Danio rerio: one gene and its partner. The protein of the gene in region 2 purifies or fractionates together with the protein of the main gene of each other region. This does not show direct contact. Links are inferred from orthologs where the notes say so. Each region holds a gene or a part of one and is shown on either strand. Other genes may lie near its edges.

What was found. Proteins that work in one complex are often made in the same cells at the same time.
Region 1: the proteins of anapc1 (region 2) and cdc26 purify together in Homo sapiens (co-immunoprecipitation; 6 studies listed by BioGRID and IntAct, with this or other methods). This does not show direct contact. The link is inferred for Danio rerio from reciprocal best matches to the Homo sapiens genes ANAPC1 and CDC26.

What each region holds. Positions count from the first base shown.
Region 1 is NC_133180.1:62,619,437-62,625,805, forward strand, and holds cdc26 (anaphase-promoting complex subunit CDC26), read right to left. Parts: upstream 3,855-6,369; 5' UTR 3,795-3,854; intron 3,306-3,794; 5' UTR 3,281-3,305; coding exon 3,200-3,280; intron 2,251-3,199; coding exon 2,065-2,250; 3' UTR 1,856-2,064; downstream 1-1,855. UniProt on the Homo sapiens protein: Component of the anaphase promoting complex/cyclosome (APC/C), a cell cycle-regulated E3 ubiquitin ligase that controls progression through mitosis and the G1 phase of the cell cycle.
Region 2 is NC_133188.1:50,722,487-50,728,681, reverse strand, and holds part of anapc1 (anaphase-promoting complex subunit 1), read right to left. Parts: intron 5,246-6,195; coding exon 5,103-5,245; intron 4,791-5,102; coding exon 4,567-4,790; intron 2,291-4,566; coding exon 2,084-2,290; intron 1-2,083. UniProt on the Homo sapiens protein: Component of the anaphase promoting complex/cyclosome (APC/C), a cell cycle-regulated E3 ubiquitin ligase that controls progression through mitosis and the G1 phase of the cell cycle.

The DNA.
Region 1 (6,369 bases), on a different chromosome or scaffold from region 2:
CAAGGAAGCGCCGGCGAAGAGAAGCAACAGTACGAGGAAGCGCAGGCGTCTTACAAATCTGCGGTGTGAGGACATTTCGGTTTTCCCGATAAGTATAATGCCAATAAAAGAAAAAACGGTGACAAAAAATAACTGTGAAAGCATTGTTTTACACGTATAACCATGACTGCACATCTGCTGCACCATCACCCAGCAATATCACTGTATGAAGGCAGGATAGCAGAGAAGGTAATAAAGTCCTCCAAATAGCAACAGTCCCTCGCTGAATCTTTCAAGCCAACATACCCAACTGGTTCCGAGAGACGCATATAAATAACAAAGGCAGTGCGGGTGTTTATTGCTAAAGATTTGTAGTCGTTTATGGTGATGGGAGATGTGGGCTTTTGTCATCATATAAAAGCACTCGATCCATGTTACAGATTACAGTCTCGCATTTTTCAGCATCGAGATAATTAAGATGGTTTATTTATGTTTACTTAAGTACAAATATGTTTATTTGAAATGGCCAATTTATCTTTATTACTTCCCATGTATGTTTATTTTCAAAGTGTAGGATTTTATGTGTTCCCCAGTTTGTACATGGGCTACCAGCAGCTGTCAGATTTCAGTGTTCATTTTTTTATTCAATACACCAGGAACTACTGTACTTTTTTTGGCTTTTAAGTAAAACAAAATGAGTTTTGCAAAAAATCTTTTTTATTTTTTTCTCCTTTACCTCTTACTGTTCCTATTGCCTGTAGAATAAAAAAACGTGTTAAGCCATGAGAACCAAACCGAACCGAAAACAGTGTTAAAAAACCGAGGTATGTATTGAACCGTGGGCTAACTGTATTGTTGCATCCCTAATATATATATATATATATATATATATATATATATATATATATATTAGTAGTATAATCTGTATTAGGGATGCAACGATTAGCTGGTTTCACTATTAACCGGGATTTAATTAGTCACGTATGGGCTTCTCAACACTGCATTTCTGCACGGAACAAGACTGCAGCAACTTGTTATGGCAACTGTGCACTTGTTTGTACATTAAGGCTAATAAGCAGTGCACTCTACTCACTATGACTGGGGCTATTAACTAAGGCAAGCTCGTCCAAGTTAGTTTTTTTCAATGGAGGGACGCGCACGCAACACAACACACTCGTGCTTTTCAGGTGCACCTAGTTGAGATGACAGGGGGCTTTTGTGACCGTGGGAATTGCAAACGGCTAACGGTTTAAGGAAGAAGCACTGGAAAGGACACAGATTGGCAAACCCACTTAAAGTTACAAATAATGGCGTTGTGGAGAGCAATCATGTGGCGAATCCCCAGCTGGGATCAACTGAATGTTTTTAAAGACAGTGGTGAAAGACTCAAGCCTGTTTCACACCGCAGGCATGACCAGAGAGTGTTTTTTTTCGCATCCATGTTAACAGATTAGAGCTTTCATACTGCATGCAGAAGCAGTGCGTCAACACGAGGCATGAGCATCATGCAAGCAGTCGTGGTTTCGCCGCTGGGTCTATTTTACCGGTGCATTGATAATGACCAAAAACACATTGAATGAGCAGTTTTACCAAATAATGCATCAATAATATCCACTGAATTTTTTATATGCACTTAAATAAAATTAAACGATTAAACCAGCAACAAATATTTAGTTGGGCACAATATATAAAACAAAATTTAAAACCGTTTTAAACTATTTATAAACTAATGGGGTTTTGGGATCAATGAATGCAAATAATCATGATAAACGTGATTATTTCTAATACTATAATCGTACAACCAAAATTTATAATCGTTGCGCCCTAATCGGTATTATCAAAAATATAATTCTGCCAATATCACATTTACACACCATTTCCACATCCAACTAGAAAGGCTTTATTTATTTCAATAGAAAAATAGTCATTTGAAATCAGTTATCACAAACACCGTTAACCAAAGCCATAATTTTATGTCCATTTCTAATCTGGCAAGATTGATGCAGAATATATTCTGTGTGCACGTACGTGTCTGTGTTACAGATTCTCAAGACCTTATAGTCCATTGTTCAGGATTGGCACTTGTCAAAACTGAAGGTTTCCGAAGAGCGATGGTAACGTGTTAGGCTTGGGGTGGGGTTTGTATCCAATTCTCTCGTGAATCATCTGCTCTCTGGTTTTCCCATCAGCAGTGCCACCTGCCGCTCCGCTCATCTCACTGGATGTGGCGACACCGACGACATCCACCTCATCCCTCTGTTTCTTCCGACTCTTAACACATGTGGGGAAAGTAACATGAGATTATAGAAAGCTTCTTACTTTCTGTAAGATTTGCTTACATGCTTGCTTTTAAATGAGAAAAAGAATGATGAAGAAATCACACTATTACTGACTGATTTGCAGTGGTGGACTAAGAATTTTTGCTTTATTTTAATTAAGTAGGGGAGAGCAGGGACTAAAGTATCATTTTCATAACCTAATAATATCATTATCATAACTTAATCATAATTGATAATGTTTTTAGCAGAAATATATTTTCGCTGTGGTTACTAACACATAACTGTAGTCTATCAAAATCAGCTGTAGAACAACTCCAATACAACTTTACTTTTGATGCTACAAAAAAGCTGGTTGATGCAACATTTATGTTGATATTGGACTACGCTGATGTTATCTATATGTATGCTTCGTCTTCTAGTCTGCATGCACTGGACACTGTTTACCATGCTGCACTAAGATTTATAACTAATTTTACTGCTTTGTCCATTTGTAGGCTCAAGCACTAGCGTATCTCTGTTTACATTTCTATATTGGGTTTACTCCCATCAAATTTATAGAATTACATTCGGGAAAATCCTGTCCTCGGACGAAGCAGTCGCACCAGACCTAGTGCTGTCGCCTCACAGCAAGAAGGTCGCTGGTTCGAACCATGGTTCAGTTGGCGTTTCTGTGTGGAGTTTGCATGTTCTCCCTGCATTCGCGTGGGTTCCCTCCGGGTGCTCCGGTTTCCCCCACAGTCCAAAGACATGCAGTACAGATAAATTGGGTTGTGTTTAGGGGTAGGGGGATAGAATCTACTGTTTGTACAGTAGAACCATCATTAAGGGGTCTATGAGAGTCCCCACTGGGATGAAGGAACATGTCTTTATGTGTGTACAGTAAATTGAAGCAACTATTTATGACACATGTTTAAGACACGATGACAAGTCCAAAATTTTACCTCCAGCTCTTTCTTGACACTTTCAAACTCCTCCGTGTCGTCCAGCTTGAGCTCGAGGCGCGTTGGTTTCCTCCTCAGCATCTTCACATCACCGGCTTCTCGTTGCCTGGAAACACGTTACACGCGCTGCTTAAGTTAATTTACACACTTATTAACGTTAACGTTACATATATAATGTATGTTCATTAGAAATCGATGGGTTAACCTAGTTGAGTTGTGGTAGTTCTATTCAACTCTTCATATATATTTTGACTCTGAGAAAGCTCAAATGCTATGTTTTAAGGAACCTAACGTTGCAAAAGCCCATGATTGCAGTATTATATCTGCATACACAGTACACTTTACTTGAACGTTTACCGTCGTGTTGTGTATTTCGTAATTTCAAGAAATTCAGCGACGCCTGCTTCAACACCATAACGTTATTGTTTAGCAGCTACATGCTAATTAGCCTAGTAGCTCTAAATTCTGGGTCTTAAACAGTGACAAACGTCAGGATAATGAACCGTGAAGATCGTTTATTTTAGTAAGCTTGGCAAACTATTGACAAACAATTCTAAACTGAAAGAAGATGACTATTTCAGCTCACATCACTTACCGTAATCATTCACGCTTTAGACCGTAGAAAGAGCAGAAGGAATCATGGGAAATGTAGTTTAAGCGTGAAGGGAGAAAAAAGGGATAAACGTGTGTGTTTTTTCTGTTTTTATATTTTTTCAAGTTTTAAATTGATAATCGCATTAGTTGAATTATTCTTTCACTGTCTATTTAAGGGCATAGACGGTTGAAATGTTCATTAACCTTAGTTTTTTTCTTCAAGTTTTTGATCGATTTATTTAGTTAAACCTTTAAAACTAAATGTACAAAACTTGTTGTTTTAGAACGGTCCGTGTACGTTTTGTTCATTTGTTTTCCATTTTCAAACGGAATAAAGGAAATGGAGAAAACGGCCGTTTTTCCTTTTGCTCACGAGAAAACGAAAAAACGAGATTTTGGCTGGATTTTCGTTTTTTGGTTTAGGGTAGGAAAACGGATAAACGACTTTAAAATTCATTTTACACATGTAGGCGGTGCTGAAACGCCCACTTTCCTCTAATTGGTCAACCAAATCTGCGCTCGTGACGTCACCCTCAAAATAAAAGCCTTACACGCAGGCTTTTAATTATTATTATTTAATTATATATTAACTAAGTTTACATATTCTATCATTTGAACCACACACAGTTAGCAGGCTTACATTCATTGCGTATGTATAAATTAAATAAAAACGTAAAGCAGTATTCTTAGACATTTGTCATTAAAATAAGGTCATAGTTCACTGCCAAGCTTCTTGCTGCTGTGCACCTGATGCAGAGCAAAGATAGCCATTTCCGAGGAGCACCTGGTTTACATGATTGTTTCATAACAATCTTTATAATAATATAATAGGGCTTTATAATAATAATAATTATTATTATTATTAATATCAGTTACTAGTGTTTTTATTGTTTGGTGTGTTTTTTTTCTTTTTAATAGTTGTTAGCAGAACCAGAATAAGAACACTTTGGGCCCTGCTATAAAAACAAAGGGTACCATTTGTTTTCATTTACTTCTTCCTATTTTAATTATATATTGTAATTATTTTTTTGATAATTAATACTATTTTATTGCAACGCCAAAGTAGGCCTGTCTTATTATTTTTTTCTATTATTAAATTTGCTGTTATTGTAGGCTAGATGGCAGGCTTTAAATATTTTAAATAACATTTACTCATAACCTTACTAATTCGAGAGCCGAACCTAAAAAAGTTTAAGTGCAATAAGCCTGTACAATAAAGGGAGCCGCAATGCAAATTTCTAGCGCATTCTTTCACTCAACAATTATTGCTGGAATAATGAAATGAATTTTAAATTAACTAATTAAACACATTATAGTTGATAAAAAAAATTGTGTCTAGTAGTTCCGACAAACAGATGAGCTCCCCACCCAGCAATAGTTCGTCGAATAGACGTCGAAAAGACGACATTGTCAGACGTCCAAACAACGTGGAAAACAGGTGGGAAAGTGAAAGACGAAACTACGTCTTTTTAACGTCGTCGAAAAGACGTAATTGTAAGGCGTCCAAACAACGTGGAAAACAGGTGGAAAAGTGAAACGTGAAAAGACGTCTTTTTCATGTCGTCCAAAAGACGTAATTGTAAGACGTCCAAACAACGAAAAATACGTCAATTTTAAGTCGAAATTTGGTTGTGAGAAATACCTTTATAAACGTTTTAGAAAATTCACATGATTCAGAAATTCAACATTTTGTTTAAAAAATATTATTTATTAGCCTAATATTTGCAGACAAAAGTAATGACAAAACATGTATTAGTCAATTTAACATTAACAACAACAAAAGCATCAGATAGTTTTTCCGCTCTGCGTCTGCCACCGCCAGACCGTACAGGTGATCTCTCACGGCCCTGTAAATTCCGTGGCTGTTGTGTCGCAGTTTGGCTGCACCTGCTATAACAAAGAAAAACTCTGTTTTAGTTGATATAATGCACATCCTTATGTGTTATTTTAAGAAAATTAACGTGACATTCAAATAATAAATGCTATTTTGACTGCATGCTACACACGTTTTTGTTTAAGAACACATTTCAGTTATTTAACCATACTTTTTATTGTAATATTATTTATTTTTATGAAATGGACAGAGATGGCAAAAATACACACATCCTACTCAAAAAAAAGTGATACTGATGCTTAAAACAACTCTGGTAAAAGTTAAAGTAGCCTACTGACTGCACTTTTGTAGTCAAATATGGCCTCAAACACGTGATAAAAAAAGTTTCTATTACTACCTGTTTTTCACGCTGGTAACTAGACTCACATCCAGGCCCGGCGCCAGGAATCAGAACTGAGGGGGCATTTTAAATCCATAGGGGGGCACTAAACCTGGTGGCTGATTTTGGTCTCTCTAGTTCCTTTCATTTAGGCTATTTATTCACATTTATTATTACTTCACTTTGTTACAGACCTAAGGCAGTATTATACGTTTTAATAGTAATATTAATATGCACAGTGTCGCTATTACTGATTTTATTAATGATGGTATTGCAACGATACCGCTTATTAATGCAGACGGATCATGGCTTCAGTGCCAAACGAGTGCTTTAAATCATATTTTATTCTCCTTATTTATTTCA
Region 2 (6,195 bases):
AAGACTAGGTCTGCATAATATATCGTTTCAGCAGTAATATCTCAATCTGCACATCGGCAATGTTGAGTTGGGATTATAGTGATATGAATTCAAGTTCAGCAGATGGCTTGAATAGCTCTTTTCGTAAGAAAGTTGTTCAATTAGATTGATTGGGATGATTCTCTAAGGAAGGAATAAAGACAAAAGTGAAATAATCAGTGCTTTATGGTGATAAAATTACACGGTTTAGTCATCCCTGTATAAATAATTCAATTAAATACATTTTACATACGATTTCTTGTGGTGGAATAAAATGTAATTTGTAATTATAATCCATTGGATGATGCAACGGCAGCCGAAAGCTACGGCACTAGTGCGCTTACCACACACCAGCTATTGGTGGAGTGGAGAGACAGTGATAGAGCCAATTGAGACAATTTGGCCAGGACACCGGGGTTACACCCCTACTCTTTACGAGAAGTGCCATGGGATTTTTAATGACCACAGAGAGTCAGGACCCCCTTTTAACGTCTCATCTGAAAGATAATTGCTTTAAAATGTCCTAAAATGATCACACAGCAGTCAGTTACTCCATTGTGGTTAAACTCTGCAGTGACTCCACAAATCTGATCGGATCTATTTTAGACTGTGGTTCCTAGATAGCAATGCATATCACAGAAAAACTAAATATCAGTTTTTCCCCAGTATTGTGCAGCCCTATTCATTCATTCATTCATTCATTCATTTTCTTGTCGGCTTAGTCCCTTTATTAATCTGGGGTCGGCACAGTGGAATGAACCGCCAACTTATCCAGCAAGTTTTTACGCAGCGGATGCCCTTCCAGCCGCAACCCATCTCTGGGAAACATCCACACACACATTCACACACACACTCATACACTACGGACAATTTAGCCTACCCAATTCACCTGTACTGCATGTCTTTGGACTGTGGGGGAAACCGGAGCACCCGGAGGAAACCCACGCGAAGGCAGGGAGAACATGCAAACTCCACACAGAAACACCAACTGAGCCAAGGTTCGAACCAGTGACCCAGCAACCTTCTTGCTGTGAGGCGACAGCACTACCTACTGCGCCACTGCCTCTCCCCCAGCCATATTCTAGTTCTTTCAATTTAATTCTATTTATTTGTATAGTGCTTATCAAAATAATTACTGTTCCAAAGCCGCTTTTAAACGGTGCACATTAATGCATTACAATCAAAATCAGTAATTAGTTCCTACGATTATTAGTTCTGGAGGAATATGTAGAGGTATAATGAAAATAAAATGGGAAAATATGATACACCAGTGTTTTGTATGAAAAAACTGTCTTAACACTGTTTTTATCTGTTTATATTATTTGTTTTGTTGGTTTTATTATTTTTTATTCCTGTTTATGTAAAGCACTTTGAACTGCCACTGTGTATGAAATGGGCTATAAAAATAAAATTGCCTTGCCTAAGACAATGATAATTCTGAACCACAGTGATGACAGACTTTGGCTGAGGGATTTCAGAATGACCAAAACAATGTTTCAGATGTTCTACAATGTGCTCGCTCCACTGGTTTGACCATTAATGCCTCACACCTTAATACATCACACCCATTTTTAAGATCATAAATGTGTTTCCATCAAAGCTTTTGCTCGTATTTGGTTATCGAATAAAAAGTTGATCCTACTTAGTAGTGTGCATGCATACATTTTCTTTCATACGCATTTTCAAAATGTATGCACATCTAATGGTTTCCATTAAGCATTTTATTTAAAAGATTTATTATTGGCCTTTTTGCCTTTATTAGATAAGACAGTAATCAGACTGGAAGTGCAGTGGGGGAGAGAGGGGGGTTGTTGTGGAGGGGGTTGAGGTTCGGGAAATGTCCTTGAGCCGTGATTTGAACTCTGGACAGCCTGAAGTGCTACCGCACCATAGATCATCGCGCGAACCACTAGGCTATTGCCCCAACATTAATCTTTTTTTAATGCAATATGTCAAATGTGCAAAAAAAAAAAAAAACAGGTGGATGGAAACATGGTTATTGAATTCAGGACAGTCATAGAAGGTAATTTAATACTCTCTGACAGCACACTGAAGCTCATCAGACCTGGAGATGGCGCTGGTTTCCGTCCACAGCTGCTCGATGCAGAGGTCTGGTAAGATGGGCTCCATCTCAGGCAGCAGGGTGTCATTCAGGGTGCTGTTGGGTGAAGCCAGGATGCTGTGGCCACGCGAAGATGGCGTGTGGCATGACATGTTGAAACGCTGATTCCCAGAGAACGAGGGCACGGCGATGCCAGGGGAATGAGCACGACTTTAGAAAGTCAGGCAAATAAAAATGTTTAAAAAGAAAAAGGAAAAAAATGAGACATTTAAATTTAGATATTTTTACGACATAACATAATATAACAATATAATAAAACATAACATAATTTAACAACATAATATAACAATATAATAAAATATAATATAATATAACAATATAACATAATATAACAATATAATAAAACATAACATAATATAACAATATAACATAATAACCATATAATAAAACATAACATAATATAACAATATAACATAATATAACAAAATAATATAACATAACATAATACAATAACATAATAAAATAAAAAGTATAATACATTATAATATAAGGTAAAATAATATAACATAATATACTGTAATCTAATATAATCTAATATAATCTAATATAATATAATATAATATAATATAATATAATATAATATAATATAATATAATATAATATAATACAATATAATTAGTGCTGTCAAATTAAGTGCGTTAACGCATGCAAATAATTTGAAATATTTAACGTAATTAACACAGTTGCAGTTTTTTTCCTGTTGTGGTCGAAGTGTGTTCAACATGCAAAGAAATATGAATAAGACCAAGGAAGCACTTACCAGGCTAGTCAGCGTTTCCTCCAGAGTTTCATCTAATATCCTATGTTTCATTTTTAACTTTCGACTTTTGTTTTAATGGAATTTGATACCACATGGTGAACGGAAATAAAAACCTCCGCATTTCACCCTTTAAGGTTATCAAAAATTGCTGTTTACATGGTAGACTTCTAATAAGAGTTCTAACTTAGTCATATTAAAATCGGAATATTGGTGTCCATGTAAAGGTACTTAGAAAGGGCCAGATGATGTTGCAAGCTGTCAAAGTCAGCGCATTCCTTTTCCTTTCAGCATGAGCCCTCCAATGTTTCATTAAGTTTTTCCCACTTTAACACAAGTTTTGTAAAGCGTCTGCTTCACGTTGATGTGTCAGAATCCTTATGAAATACAGCCATACTTTAGAACGCTTAGTTTAAGCAAATTTGATGAACGCGATCATGTGCGTTGAATCTGAAGGGAGTCGCTCCGGCTGCGCTGTCCTGCGCACGTTTTGTGTGTGTGTGTGTGTGTGTGTCACAGCAAAGCGCGCACAACGCGTACCTGTTTGTCCCTTTGATGTAGGCTAACGCTTGATGCTTCTTACGTCCTTTTCGCAGCACCAGTGGTCACAAAATTAGGTACCGAATGCATATGCTGATTCAGTAATCCTGCCTGTTCTCACTCTCGGCTCACATCATTCAAAACAAAAGGGCCACATTGTCCCCCGATAATGTCAACAGACTGGACTGTCTCAGCAACAGGCTGAATGTAAAGGAGGACTAAGCTAAATTGTTTCTGCTTAATAATAAATGTTCTCAACACACAGCAATACAACTTTTCAATGAGTGCAACTGTTTGTATTCAATACTTTATTATTATTACAATTTTCTATATTTGCAAAGCCTGTGTTTTGACATTTTCTGCAGTTCACTTTGAATCCAACATGGAAATCATTTTTGTTTGTTATTGCCATTGTTTTTCAATTCAAATGGCATTAACATGCCTGAGTTTTTATTTCTGTAATAAATATGGCACTCAAGCCAGAATCTTGATGGTTTATTGTGGGTATGTTGAAGAAATCGGTGTTACAAAATAAACAAAAATTCTAATGAACAATTATAGTTTGAATTTAAATAGTTTTTGTCTTGCGTTTACATTAATTTTACATTTGAAAAAATTCAAAATTATAGCCAAAATTATAACTTTCGGTCTTTTAAATGTGATTAATTGCGATTAATTGCAAAAAAAAAAAAAAGTGTGATTAATTAGTTTTTTGTTTTAGTTTTGCACTAAATATGTTATAATATAATATAACATAAAATAATATAATATAATTAACATAAAAAATATATAAAATAATATAATATAATATAATATAATATAATATAATATAATATAATATAATATAATATAATATAATATAATATATGAAATAATATAATACAATATTATACAATATATGATGATGTAAAATAAAATAATATAACATAATATAACATAATATAGTATAACATAACATAACATAACATAATATAATATAATATAATAAAAAACAATTGTGCTGCTTTATATTTTTCATATTCTTTGATTTATGATTATATATTTTTTCAATAAAATTTTTGAATTGCGATTTCTGTGCACAATATGTAAAAAAACACCATTCATAGCCAATATTGATGCATTGTCATACCTGAGAGCAGCCATGTTGGAAATGCTGGGCGAGTGAACCCGAGAGTGCAGGGCCGGGGAGGCTGGGATTCGGCTTTGGTTGTGAAGAGCATGGCAGTGTAAAGGTGAAGCCGGAGAGTCCAGCCGGTTCACGTTTCTCAGGTGTGTGCTGAGGAAACTGGGAGCCGCATTAGGAGTGTGAGCCGGTCCAGACTGATCTGGAAACTTTAACACAGTGTTCTGCTCCTGAAATAAAACACACACACAGGGCTTTAGGCTCCAAACAAGTCTAGGAGTGTGTCTCAATCAGCACTCTTGTTTAGTAGTCAGCGCACTGATGAGGGAGTCAGCCGTTTTAACTGCTGTCTCAATCAGAAAATTCGTTCAGTGTCCTGAGAAGTCCCACAATGCATTGCAACTCTAAACATTGAAAACATTTCACAAAAACTTATATTGCACACTAAACACAATATCTGGAAACTTTGGAAGTTCCGATGATTTGTTGGTTGGCATCTGTCATTGCAATGTGAATTGGGCTGAAGACTGCATTAAACGTACCTCAGATGTGACTTTGCGCAGATTCCAGACGGTGTGTGTGCACTGCTGTGTGTCGTAGGTCATGATAATGGAGGGTTTGAGGCAGGTGAACACCACTCTCAGAGCGCTGTCTGAAACATACTGGAGCCGGGTTTCAAACAGACCTGCACCAATGAGTGAGAGCAACAAGAGCATTGACAAATGACACATCGGCCCCGTTTACATTAGTTAAGATTGTCAAACATTGAATAAAACAGGCATTTTAGGGATCTGTTCTTTCAGCTTTGAACAACAATACATATATTTTCTGCACAGGTTATCCAAGATTTTAGTAAATTATTGAATTTAAAAGGTTTTGCATTAAGAATGCAGCTGGCTTTATATACACTACCTGACAAAAGGCGTGTCGCTTGTCCAAGTTTTAGGAACAACAAATAATAACTTGACTATTCTTATTCTATCTGATCATTTGGTATCAAAAGTGGCTTAAATGAAAGGTAAAGGCCTCTAGATTACGCTTATTTACCAAAATTAAATATGATCATGTCTTGATTTTTAATGATTTCATTAGGGCAGTAAGGTCTGACTTTGCTTAGACAAAAGTCTTGTCACTGAACAGAAATAATGTCCAGTATAGAATATAAAGTCATGCTGCAGTGGAGACAGAATGATTATTGTGTCTGACTCCATCATGAGATTGGAGGACTGCATCCATACATCTCTGCAATGACTCAAATCACTGATTAATAAAGTCATCTGGAATGGCAAAGAAAGCGTTCCTGCAGGACTCCCAGAGTTCATCAAGATTATTTAGATTAATCTTCAATGCCTCCTTCATCTTACCCCAGACATGCTCAATAATGTTCATGTCTGGTGACTGGGCTGGCCAATCCTGGAGCACCTTGACCTTCTTTGCTTTCAGGAGCTTTGATGTGGAGGCTGAAGTATGAGAAGCAGCACTATCCTGCTGAAGAATTTGCCCTCTCCTGTGGTTTGTAATGTAATGGGCAGCACAAATGTCTTGATACCTCAGGCTGTTGATGTTGCCATCCACTCTGCAGATCTCTCGCACGCCCCCATACTGAATGTGACCCCAAACCATGATTTTTCCTTC